2 linked regions of the Saccharomyces cerevisiae S288C genome follow. The main gene of each other region encodes a partner of the protein of the gene in region 2 in a complex. Each region holds a gene or a part of one and is shown on either strand. Other genes may lie near its edges. A codon is read from its position in the direction of its gene.

Region 1 (6,886 bases), on a different chromosome or scaffold from region 2:
TATTAAATTAATGGAATGTTGACGAGCAAGGCTCCAGTCTCTTTCTTCCAAATCAATTTCATACTTGAAGGGTTTGATACAGTTCTCAACTTGATCAGCCGTTGAATAGTATTTACTGTTTAGAACGTTAATGGCTGTATTGCTAACAAGGTCTTTGATCAGTTCATGGTTTTTTAGTTGAGTAGACTCCAGAATGTTATCTAGCTCCTTTAAAATTGCATTGGTAGTAAGCATTGTAGATAATCTACCAATGCCCATTTTAGTTAAGCCGGATGATGCGAGTTCCAATTTTTTATGCCAATATAGCATATCGGTATCACTTTCCAGCTTAGAGGAAGATAGATCCTGAAGATTATCATCCTTCCAATACCGTGTAGCCAAAACATCTAAAACTTTCTGATCCAATTCTGCTCTCAAGATTGATTTCAGTTCATTTCTATGAAATTTTTCCTGAAACTCTTTAATACCCAACTTTAGTACATCTATATTATTCAAAAGGTATGATTTAGGAGTTAGATGCCTGTCGTTAAACTCTACTTTAAACAAATAAGAAGTATCATCCAACTCTTGTTGAATAAGTGTTGAAGTCGGCTCCAGCGCATTTGACATGGAAATCTCCAAGATTTTGATCAACTTTTCTCTCAATTTCTTAGTGGAAACTTGGCAATTGGTAAAATACTTTTTGTTTTCTTTGAAATAAGCTTTTTCAAATTGATGAGACACAATTTGTTTTAAACCATTGGTATTTTCTTCTCCGCTACTTTGGCCGTGCTGGCCTTTTGAAAATATCCCACTTAATGACGAAGAAGGTGCTTCACCGAAAAGACCTAGGTGTTTTCTGTTTATACTACTTGGTGTCTTAGTAATCACTCCTACATAGCCCATACTGAGAGGATATTTTTTATTATTCAAGATGCTTCTTGCTTTTTCAGGATCCACCAAATCCAGTTTGGTAATGACACCTATCGTTCTCAAGCCTTTAGGATCTGCCGCTTTAGAAGCTTTCAAAGCAGAACTATTAGCCAGGTCAACATCCGCAGCAGAAATTGCTAAAATAATATTAGGTGCAGTCAAATATTTTTCGCAGAGGTCACGGATTTTTGTTTTCAGTTCTATTGGCTGGTCTGCCGCTTCCACTTGTATATAGCCAGGTAGATCCACCAATGATAAATCTGGAACGCGGGACGATTTGATTGTCAATTGAATAGGCTCCTCTGAAACAGCCTCTGAAGTCGGAACGGCCATGTTCAGTTCCATTAGCATTCTTTTCACCTCTTTAAAGTCCTTGATATTGTATAGACGCATGCTTGGAAAATCAGCTGTTACATTATTCGAGTTAGGTGTATTGACCAAAGTCAATTCAATGGGTCTTCTTGTGACCATGTTGGAACCTTTTGGTAAGAATTCCCTCCCAACAATGGATTCTAGTACTGAGGATTTACCAGACGATTGTGAACCTATCACGACAATAGATGGTAAAGTTAAATGTGCAGAAGAAGAGTCCACTTTATTCAAAATAGTTCTAATTTCAATCATTTGTTTGGTTAAGTTTAACATTTCGTCTTGCGTTGTATCTACAGAATCGTTTTCATCATCCTCGTCATCATCATCTTCGTCGTCATCATCTTTAGGATCTCCTTGCCTCTTACTTTCGTCATCGTCGAGTGATGTAGCGGCTATTAGAGTAGCAGTTGGCACCGTTCCATCGTTTCCATGACCACCGTCTTGTGACTTATCACCGGAAAACATTTTATTAAACTTTTCCTTCATCGATTCACCTAAATCCTTGATTCGATCTAGTTTGTCCTTAGTAAAAGAGCTAGCTTCTTCCATCTTATAAGCTATATAACTCCCTGCAGCAGCCATCCCGCCACCCACATATATGGGTAACCTAATAATTTTAGATATAATTTTAGGAAAATGTGATATCGATCTCCTGGTGATAACAAAACTCAAAGCATTGGCATGTGCTGATCTGTGAACATTGCTCATGCGGCTGTGTAAGTGCACCAACGGACTTTTGATGTAAGGAGAGCTATATAGTATCGCCGGATGCGTAGCAAGCTGTCTTCTCAGAATTAAAAGCCGTACTGGGCTCGCATTCATCCTTACTAATGTGTTATAGTTCGCCACTCTTGGGATGGCCCTTAATGAAGTAGAATTACTCATGCTTTCAGAGTATTATGGTGAATATGCGAGGCTATATTATAAGTACGAAAAGAATGGAAAAGCCTAAGAATAAAATGATATCTGTACTACCCAAAAAGAGGCTTTTTCGTGTTCTCCCGTTAACTGGTGTGAACCTTCCTAGCTGATTATGTCTTGCCTTTCAATAGAACGCTACTATTTTGTTTTTAACGGTACAAGGAAATATTAACAACTTGCATATTGATCATCGAATACGAAGCGCTGAATGAGGGTTAATTTCATAGTAAATCTTTCATGGACAGAAATATTTGAAATATATTTCCTCAAAGAGTACACTAGATCCATTCATATTTTAGGCTTCCTATGGAAACCGTTTTTTCAAGGATAAACCCCGCCATATGTTCTTTGCGAAGTCTTTTGCAGTTAAAACTAATTACAACTCTGTTATTTACTGACACCTGCGTTAAAATTTTATCACAATATGTCATCCGCTGAGAGAGATGTACTATTTATAATTACTTAAGAGCGACTACTTCATTTACCATTAGCGAGCAGAAGAACAGCTTACTTGTCGATGTTCTTCTCTGGCTAAATGAAATGTCAATTATTGAGATTGAGATGGGTATGTATGATCGGATTTTGATATCAGCCGATGAGACGAAGATTCAATAGCTTCAACCGTCCCTGCGGGGGGTACTTACCTTTTGTAACCAGTACCCTGTGCAAATTCTCGGCGTGTACTACCTCTTTTGGGACCACAACCCTTTGTACGCACTTTCGTCAGATGCAAATTTTTACACGCGTTGAAAAATGTTTCAGGAAGAGATACTGCGTAAAAAAAAGACACATGTGTTACGCAGGAAAAAGTTTGTGAGGCTTTTTGCCTTAACAGATTGACTTGTAGCCCTGTTAGGTTTACCCAACAGTTGTTTTTCTGTGTGTCGAAAATTTTTTCAGATTGTTTTCAACTGACACTTGCCTGTTTCATATTAGTTGTAACTTAAACTTTCAAACATAAAACTTTTTTGGAAGTCCATCCTTCACATGACTTGAATCCCTTCAATATCGAAACAGTATCCTCAAAATCTCTTATCACTTTTCTAATTGTTTTCTTCCCCTTTTTGTAGTAACTCGCTGTAAAGCACATTTTATTCATAATCTCCTTTGTGCCAGAACTCAAGGTCAATAGGCCAGAATTATTGGAAGGAAAGAGGGAAGAAAATACGATATTGCTAGTTCATTAAGTCAAGGAAGAAAATACTCAAAAAACTGTACAGCTCAATCAGGTACACATTACGATGGCAGCACATCAGATGGACTCGATAACGTATTCTAATAATGTCACCCAACAGTATATACAACCACAAAGTCTACAGGATATCTCTGCAGTGGAGGATGAAATTCAAAATAAAATAGAGGCCGCCAGACAAGAGAGTAAACAGCTTCATGCTCAAATAAATAAAGCAAAACACAAGATACAAGATGCAAGCTTATTCCAGATGGCCAACAAAGTTACTTCGTTGACCAAAAATAAGATCAACTTAAAGCCAAATATCGTGTTGAAAGGCCATAATAATAAAATCTCAGATTTTCGGTGGAGTCGAGATTCAAAACGTATTTTGAGTGCAAGTCAAGATGGCTTTATGCTTATATGGGACAGTGCTTCAGGTTTAAAACAGAACGCTATTCCATTAGATTCTCAATGGGTTCTTTCCTGCGCTATTTCGCCATCGAGTACTTTGGTAGCAAGCGCAGGATTAAACAATAACTGTACCATTTATAGAGTTTCGAAAGAAAACAGAGTAGCGCAAAACGTTGCGTCAATTTTCAAAGGACATACTTGCTATATTTCTGACATTGAATTTACAGATAACGCACATATATTGACAGCAAGTGGGGATATGACATGTGCCTTGTGGGATATACCGAAAGCAAAGAGGGTGAGAGAATATTCTGACCATTTAGGTGATGTTTTGGCATTAGCTATTCCTGAAGAGCCAAACTCAGAAAATTCTTCGAACACATTCGCTAGCTGTGGATCAGACGGGTATACTTACATATGGGATAGCAGATCTCCGTCCGCTGTACAAAGCTTTTACGTTAACGATAGTGATATTAATGCACTTCGTTTTTTCAAAGACGGGATGTCGATTGTTGCAGGAAGTGACAATGGTGCGATAAATATGTATGATTTAAGGTCGGACTGTTCTATTGCTACTTTTTCTCTTTTTCGAGGTTATGAAGAACGTACCCCTACCCCTACTTATATGGCAGCTAACATGGAGTACAATACCGCGCAATCGCCACAAACTTTAAAATCAACAAGCTCAAGCTATCTAGACAACCAAGGCGTTGTTTCTTTAGATTTTAGTGCATCTGGAAGATTGATGTACTCATGCTATACAGACATTGGTTGTGTTGTGTGGGATGTATTAAAAGGAGAGATTGTTGGAAAATTAGAAGGTCATGGTGGCAGAGTCACTGGTGTGCGCTCGAGTCCAGATGGGTTAGCTGTATGTACAGGTTCATGGGACTCAACCATGAAAATATGGTCTCCAGGTTATCAATAGCTTCGAATTGGAAATACTGTGAGCAGTAATTATCAATGGATGCTATTATATAAATATACATACCTACACCCATCCCATATTTACATAGAATAACAACAGTAACATTAGTTCTGTGGAAGCGCAAAAACGTCCTTTAATAAAGTAAGTCAAAACATTCAACAATGAAAATTCAAAGCATTGTCATTTGCTTCCTTTTTCTCTTTGGATAAACGAAACAAAAACGAACAAAAGTGTCATGCACTCAAAAATTCTTTTCAATCGTTTTGGAAACAGTATTATTCACTGACTTATTTGACCAACTTGCTAGAATCATCTATGTTTTCAGGCATTGTTTAATTTCATGATGGCTGTCCCTACTTTAGCTTGTTATGAGCCTTCACTGGCTCGTCCTTATGTATTGCGTCTGACCCAAAATTTGTCCTTTCTTGTTTAGTGGAATTTTTGTTCGGTAATTTCAAAAATGCCTGAATTTTCATTAACAAATCATCTGGTAGTTGTGTTATAAACATAAAAAACTGCTCCCTTCTGGGATGATTTTCAATTGCTCTCTGTACTGCAGGATCATTCAATATCATCTGAACCACGTCCGTCATCATATCCTCATCTATAAGCGCAAGGCTTTTAATCCAGGGCAAATCGGCTATACGAAGAGACATTTCTTCCTCCGGAGACACTACTTTCCACGGGAGATCAAAATATTTAGATAGTTCACTATTGAGATGTGAGAATTCATGAGGCACATCAACGGTATAGTCAACTGCATATGCATCATCTTCAAACGTTAAGTCATGTTCAATGCTAAACTTTCCAGCGTTACCTATAAAAAAGCATTCTATTTTTAAGTTAAACTCTCCCCAACCGGTTTCCTTGATAAAAAATGGCAGCGAGTTCAGTCGTCTTTTGGGCTGTTTGAAGCTAGAGTGCAAATGGTAGATGCATTTAGAGAGGATGGTAGGCTCCACTTCCTTTCCTGTTGCATCTAACATGAGGAGTTCCATCTGCCACCGACGTAAGGGAAGTTCATTTCCCCGGATGTTTTGTTCCGGTATTATAACCTGTTGTGTTTTTACTCTGAAAGTGACTTCTATTGAATGATCCATAAAAGAGCGTCTATTATATGGCACCAAAAAAAAAAAAAAGGGCTTTTGGAGTCAAGAGTAAAAACAATTTAGTCTGTAGAAAAACTTGAGTTGCTGCACTTCCTCTTCACCCGAACATGGCTGTTCTAGTTTGTTGTCGTGCAACTCTCTAATGGTGATGACTTATTGATGTGGCTTTGATTTTTTCTTGCCCGTGTAACGCGACCGCGCCAGCTGTAAACGTCACTAAATAATACCATTAATTGGTCATTTGCTTATATGTTATATAAATGCTTTCTCTATCAAAACTTTGATTATATGACTGCCGAACTTTAAGGGTGAAGTAACAAGTACAGACCAAATAGAAAAGATAAGATTCCCATCGACGGCATTAAGGAGGATGATGAATTTTCGTATCCCCCAATAGTTGTAATATTTCCCGGGGTGATTGTTGGGAAAATCTCAACGCTGGTAACACCCGTGGATAAAGCTAAACTTGTCGTACTAGATAAATAAGAAATGGTGCTCGTTAATGTTGCAGTACTTGTCGGCATTTCACTATTATTGATGATGCTCATATTAGTTACTAAAATATCTTCATACGCGTAAATTTTCGGTTTCGGAATCTCTTCAAATACCTCGTCTGCCCCGACTTTCTTCTGTATGCTGTCTTCCATAATTTCATGTAGAATACTTTCAATTTGAGAAAACTTTTTGTGCTCCACTATTGTTAGAGGATCTTCCAACAGAAAATCTATAACAGATTTGGAAGCAAGGACCGTATCGGTATGTTCTTGAGAATCAACAGCTCGCGGCTCCTCCGGTAAATCTGCTAATACTAAGTATGGATTAAACTCCATTTGATTTAGCAGAGCTGGTGGTAATGAGTTTTTATCCAAATGGAAAACTAAAGGACCAGGTTCATTTTGTCCTGTTTCATCTTCTTCATACTCATCTGATGTAAAAGTAATTGAGTATTTGGTAGCAAACACTTGTGCCATAAAAAAGGCGAAGAAAAGGGAGGATAGATATAATCCTAACATTTCAATAAGGATCAAAAAAGAGAATGGGATACAAAACTTTACTTTC
Region 2 (5,840 bases):
TTGATGAGTTCGAGACTAAAGACCTTGCAGAGGGAAAGATAGGCGATTTGATTTCCAGACTGGAGTTCTGTTCAAATGCGATAATTGAATCCTTGCCAAATACATTCCAATCCTTTGTCCCGGTCAAATTCAGTACGGACAAGCTTCTTGAAGAATCGAAAGGTCTTCTCGATGTTTGAAAGTTTGGGGCAGCCAGAATTTCTAAAACGGAGGATCCAATAATTCTATGAAACAATGAAGATTTGAATGAACGAAATTTAATCAGGTTTGACCAAAAATTCAGCCATTTATAGGAAAGGGATAAATGGTTCAAATTGTGAATGGAAACTAGGCAATCCTTTTTGATACAAATTGGAATATCTGGTTGAACAGTGATAGATGCAATTTTACCATTTTCGTCTACTAGCCTGAAACGGGAAGTCGCAATATCCTTGCTTAAGTTCTCGATATATGTCCTTTCTTTAGTTACGACATTACTCTCCGTCTTGGCCGCTTGTGGGCTCAAAAGAGAAATTGATCTCTGCCAAACTCGAGTATTCACCCTTGGGCTTATCATGATGGGTGGATATCCTTTTCTGTGCTTCTGTTTTGTTTATCTGTATCCGTTTATTCGCCAGCCAATAAAATGACTGGGAGCACGGGACCTTTGAAATTTTGCCCTTGTTAGTAAATCGTTATAAAAATACTTATATAGATATTTTATAGAAAATGAAAAATAAAAGAAATAGCCAATATGTAGGTATATCGAACTTAAAGGTCACCTGTCGAAATCATTTCCTTCTTCTCTCTTTTTCTTTTCAATCAGATGTTTTAGAGCGGTCAAGCAACGTAAATACCAACGTGTGCTATCGCATTAGTCGTTTTGTGATTGGCCATGCTGCTGCTTCACGTACGTAGCACTACTTAATGAAAAAATACGATCATTGTTATTGAATGCAGAATCTGCATGGCTGTGGTGTGACTTGGAGAAGGTATCAAACCCTTTTATGATGTTACCAGAATAGTGTGATTTTGACCCATGGGCTCCCCCATGACCTGAATGGTTGTTATTACTATTGTGTGAGAAATACTCGGTCTCTTTATCATATATCTCTTGTTGTAAGTTGTCAAAGGTATCTTCTTGCTCTCTTCTATCTTGGAGGGACTTTTTTAGTTCCGCTTTCAATGCTTCATAACTTTTCAGCTCATCAGTCATTTTCTTCTAGGCGTAGGTTGGTAACAAACGGAAAGATGATGGAAAATGGCTGTTCTCTAAAGATGTTTATCTTACGTATATTCTTTGCTTTCGTTGTGGCTTTACACACCTTTAATCATTAATTTAATGGCATAGTCGGCAAGTTGTTGAAGGACCTGGGTTAATCGCCTACATGTGAGGTTTTTTTAAAAATATCAATTACATTTAAAAAAGGAAAGCAGTAGTACCAAAAATCGGGCAAAAAAAATTTACCTAAATAAAGGAATGCATAAATGAAGCCGTTTAATCTTTGTATTTAATGAGAATATTACATATGAAGGTCTCTTGAGAAAGCATCAATAGTGGACATTAGCTACCTTTTAAATAAATGAACGGGTATGTCACCCATGGGTTCAAACTCTTCATCATCCTCGTCTTCACTGCGTACTTCATCGTATTCGTAACCCAAATTTTCTTTTATGTAATAGTGATCTTTCTTACTTTTCCTCTTTTCCAAAAGGTCATCGAATTCGTCCTCTTCCATATTCATTTGATTGAATTTGTTAAGTATTCTTTGTAAGAATGGTGTGTTCTCCCCAGCAGTTGCCGTGGTATTAGCATTCTTCATAGTATTCCTTGGGGGTAGCAAGGGAGGACCCGATGTTGGAGTTGATTCTGAACTACGGCTTGGAGCAATATTTTGCATACGTTGTGACCGATTAGGCGGAGGGTTCGGTTTACGATTGGGTAGAGTGTTATTTATGTTGCTATTAACATTATTATTGGGCTTACTAAAAAAATCGTTTATACTCTTTTTTCCCTTGAGCATATTTGGTGAATTATTTACGTCCACAAATGTCTGTTGAATTCTTTTGGTAAAAGTAGAGAGGTATTCACTTGGGTTCTGGTTACCTAATTTCTGTTGTCCATTTCGGGGCAGTGTATCTTTGAACTGTAACTCTAATTGTTTTAATTCTTTTTGGGCGACCTCTAATTTGAAACTAAGTTCATTGATTTCTCTGTGTTTTGCAGCTAATTTATATATTAAATCTTGGTCTGTTGAAATCGGACTTGCGTGGTCGCTCACGGGTGACTGATTTGTCGTAGATCTTTGCGGACTTGATATAGGTATAGCAAGTCTTTTGGGCTTTAAAGGTGTCGTAACCCTTGGTGATTTTGATTCAGGCTGCACTTCATGTTGTTTTTGATGCGGCTGTTGCTGCTGTCCTTGGGAGTGTTTATCGACAATCGACAGCTTATGTAATTCAATTGGTTGACTAATTACACGCTGGTCTTCTGACATTACTTTAGGGCGTATGTATGGATGTATTTTGTATTGCTTTTGGCTAGTTAGTAGTATTCCTCAATCGTATTGTTTTTGATTTTGAAAAAGCTAACGATAAAGGTCAGGAAAAAAAAAGAAAATTGTATGTAAAGGAATGTCTGGAGAGAGTTACACAGGAACAGAAAGGTCCAGCAACGGTTTCTACAACCAATCATGGATGTTGATATAGGATGTTATTTTGAAGAGAAACGCTATGACGACAAACTGTTAGACTTCATCAGATATGACGTTAAAACACCTAAAAAGACTAAATATATACTACAAAGGCCTACGGCGACAGATGAAGAGAGTGTACGATTACAAAGGTTTTACCAATTAGGAGTAGATCTAAAATTGAAGTATTCCAAGCGGAGGTCATTGAAGAAGCAAGGGCGGATCAAGAATGCTACTGAGGAATTGCTGCGATTAGCCAATGAACAGTTGAAACTTTTCAACAGAATAGTAGAAAGAGAAACCAATTGGATAATTTATCCGCTGTGGGTAATGGCTAAACAATTAATTCGTCTGGCAAACGAATCTAGTGAACTTAATAAAGACTCAATTGAGGAATGTGGACGCACTATCCATAGAAGCTTTACTATATGCCTCAATGATAGGAACCCAAGATTGAATGAAAATAAAAAAATCGGGTGTTATATGTTTGCTAATCTAGAGTTTTCCATCTACCATCGGTTAAGTAATAAAGATATGATTAAAAATTTAGTGAAAGTCCTCGAGAGCAGAGTGAACGCCCGGGATATACCACCGTTGAATAAAAGCCTGGCAATGGAACATAAGTCTCAAGTGGTGTTGTATAATTATTATCTAGGTCAATACTACGGATGTCTGGAAAACGATCACGAACGCGGGTTCTTCCATTTAAATGAAGCATTATTGCAATGTCCAATGCTATATGTGGAATCTACCGGCAAGTTCGTCTTACAGGGCCAAATGGAAAAGATAATGATACTGCTGGTTCCGCTTGCTCTTTTAACTAAAAGGTTGTACCCTCACTGGGATCATCCAGTAATCGCCGGAGTAATTACTAGGAGTAAGCGCTTAAGTCAAGTTTATCCGACATTAGTGCGTAGCGTAATCTCAGGGAACCTGTCACTGTACGAGGCTACCGCAGCAAGCCATGAAAGATTTTTCCTTTCGCAAGGATTGCATGTCGTCATCACATTACTTCGAGAGGTGGTCTTCACTCGGTTGGTACAACGATGTTGGCAATGGGGGAATGATCGGAAAAGTATCATGCCCTTGAAAATTCTTCTGGCAACAAAACAACACGATAGTTCTGCCAATGAGGACGAAGAGGAGCAGTTGGATGCCCTAGAATGCCGTCTAGCAAGTGCTATAGCAAGTGGGCTTTTGCGTGCTTATCTTTCTCACTCCAACCGCTGCATCGTTTTCAGTAAGAAGGAGCCCTTTCCCCATAGCAAATGATAGAAAAATAGTCAATAATTGAACGAAGAAAAAAAAAAGAAAGTTTGTTCATAAAAGAATATCATATTATATATATATATAGGGTCGTATATATATCGTGCGTCTTCTTCCTTCTCTAAGGGTAAAATTCCTTGTATTTGTTATAATAGTAGTAACTGCCGAGCCCACCCAAAGCTGTCAAAACGACAGGGACAGGTTTAGTGAACCTGGAAGGCATGCCTCTTATGACACCAGCACCAAGTAGTAAGGTCGATGCACCCAATGCCATTTCGAGCCCACCATCTCTATTCATATGTAGCAAGTAACCGGCAATCCCATATACACTACCGAATACTAAGCCAGATACTAGAGATGGAATGGAGCCCTTACGGTAGTATCCCATAAGGCCACCGGCTGTAGTCAAAAGACTCAATGTATATGCTGGATGTTCCATAGTGTGATCTGATGTTCCTTTCTCTCAAACTTCGTTTCTGTCTTGTCTCCCGCTGTTACCTAATAACTTCATGTGATCTGCTCCCCCTTCTCGTTAAATACCACCTTTTCATCAACCCCGTAGGGCGCGACACGTCTAAAATATTAACCTCTGAATACTTATTGGGTCAAAATGAATGTTGATAACTTTCCTTTACAAAAAAAAAACTAATAGAGTATATGCATTTCGGTAGTGAAATATTCGTTAATGCTAATATGCTCAGTAGTGATCCTAGATTACCAGTTTTACTGCAGCCATCGTACAATTTTGGAACGAGTATAAAGAGAGAAATTAAAAACGACAAGAAATATTCGTACTAGCTTCTCTTCCGGCTTGATGACAGTCTTAATATCATCTGCAACTCTTGAAATCTTGCTTTATAGTCAAAATTTACGTACGCTTTTCACTATATAATATGATTTGTCAATGTGATGAGTGAATGTCTCCCTGTTACCCGGTTTTCATGTTGATTTTTGTTTCAGGCTCTAAATGTTTGATGCAATATTTAACAAGGAGAACAGAAATGTTTTGTGACAGCACCTGTCAATTTTAGGATAGTAGCAATCGCAAACGTTCTCAATAATTCTAAGAATGACATCAGTTCAAAACTCTCCACGCTTACAACAACCTCAGGAACAGCAACAGCAACAGCAACAGCTTTCCTTAAAGATAAAACAATTGAAGTTAAAAAGAATCAACGAACTTAACAATAAACTGAGGAAAGAACTCAGCCGTGAAAGAATTACTGCTTCAAATGCATGTCTTACAATAATAAACTATACCTCGAATACAAAAGATTATACATTACCAGAACTATGGGGCTACCCCGTAGCAGGATCAAATCATTTTATAGAGGGTTTGAAAAATGCTCAAAAAAATAGCCAAATGTCAAACTCAAATAGTGTTTGTTGTACGCTTATGTAATGATAGTAATAGAATCCAAAAAAAAAAAAAATATACATGCTTTTTCATATCCTCTCTCACCCTATCTTTTTTTTTCTTCTAATTTTGGCTCCGTTCATATCTTATTCAAAATTAATTCAGCGGTAATCTTATCTTTATTGTTAGACTTCGCAGAAATTTCCTTTAGCTTCGATGCAGATAGTTTGATCAAGTCATTTTGTTTATTACGTCCCAGTTCGCGAGAAATGATGTTAACCAATGCCCACCCTTTTAGGTATAGTTCGCTAAGTTCAACGCTCCTCAAAGCATTCTTTAATGCCTTTTCCAAGAGCTCGGTCTTGGTTTGTTTCTTGCTACGTAGAGCCTCATAATACAGAGTCTCACTTAGCCTACCAAAACAAGCGTAATTGAATGGTGTAATACATAGGACCTGTTCCAAACAATAACAGGCTTTTTCAAATTGGCCCATTTCGAAATAAATCTCGCTGGCATACCACCACAATTCTGCATCAAGCGGGAAT

The links.
Region 1: the proteins of STE18 (region 2) and STE4 are in contact, whole or in part, in a cryo-EM structure (PDB 7AD3), measured with the Saccharomyces cerevisiae proteins. Residues at the interface, in NP_012619.1 of Saccharomyces cerevisiae: Arg50 (codon at 5,155), Ile51 (codon at 5,158), Thr52 (codon at 5,161), Ala53 (codon at 5,164), Ser54 (codon at 5,167), Asn55 (codon at 5,170), Ala56 (codon at 5,173), Cys57 (codon at 5,176), Leu58 (codon at 5,179), Thr59 (codon at 5,182), Ile60 (codon at 5,185), Ile61 (codon at 5,188), Tyr63 (codon at 5,194), Thr64 (codon at 5,197), Ser65 (codon at 5,200), Thr67 (codon at 5,206), Lys68 (codon at 5,209), Asp69 (codon at 5,212), Tyr70 (codon at 5,215), Thr71 (codon at 5,218), Leu72 (codon at 5,221); in NP_014855.3 of Saccharomyces cerevisiae: Ile60 (codon at 3,624), Ala63 (codon at 3,633), Ser64 (codon at 3,636), Leu65 (codon at 3,639), Met68 (codon at 3,648), Ala69 (codon at 3,651), Leu75 (codon at 3,669), Lys79 (codon at 3,681), Asn81 (codon at 3,687), Phe279 (codon at 4,281), Asp281 (codon at 4,287), Ser284 (codon at 4,296), Met296 (codon at 4,332), Asp298 (codon at 4,338), Arg300 (codon at 4,344), Ser301 (codon at 4,347), Ile305 (codon at 4,359), Ser360 (codon at 4,524), Gly361 (codon at 4,527), Arg362 (codon at 4,530), Leu379 (codon at 4,581), Gly421 (codon at 4,707), Tyr422 (codon at 4,710).

The regions. Positions count from the first base shown.
Region 1 is NC_001147.6:739,464-746,349, forward strand, and holds STE4 (G protein subunit beta), read left to right. Parts: upstream 1-3,446; coding exon 3,447-4,718; downstream 4,719-6,886. Other genes in the region: dynamin-related GTPase MGM1, read right to left, coding at 1-2,106; SAS5 (Sas5p), read right to left, coding at 5,072-5,818; SPR2 (Spr2p), read right to left, coding at 6,130-6,840. UniProt on the Saccharomyces cerevisiae protein: Implicated in the a- and alpha-factor response pathway. The beta and gamma chains of the putative yeast mating response pathway G protein play a positive role in initiation of the mating response.
Region 2 is NC_001142.9:581,061-586,900, forward strand, and holds STE18 (Ste18p), read left to right. Parts: upstream 1-5,007; coding exon 5,008-5,340; downstream 5,341-5,840. Other genes in the region: YJR079W (uncharacterized protein), read left to right, coding at 1-179; AIM24 (Aim24p), read right to left, coding at 1-556; EAF6 (Eaf6p), read right to left, coding at 854-1,195; ACF4 (Acf4p), read right to left, coding at 1,548-2,477; YJR084W (uncharacterized protein), read left to right, coding at 2,673-3,944; TMH11 (Tmh11p), read right to left, coding at 4,060-4,377; EMC2 (Emc2p), read right to left, coding at 5,435-5,840. UniProt on the Saccharomyces cerevisiae protein: Implicated in the pheromone A- and alpha-factor response pathway. The beta and gamma chains of the putative yeast mating response pathway G protein play a positive role in initiation of the mating response.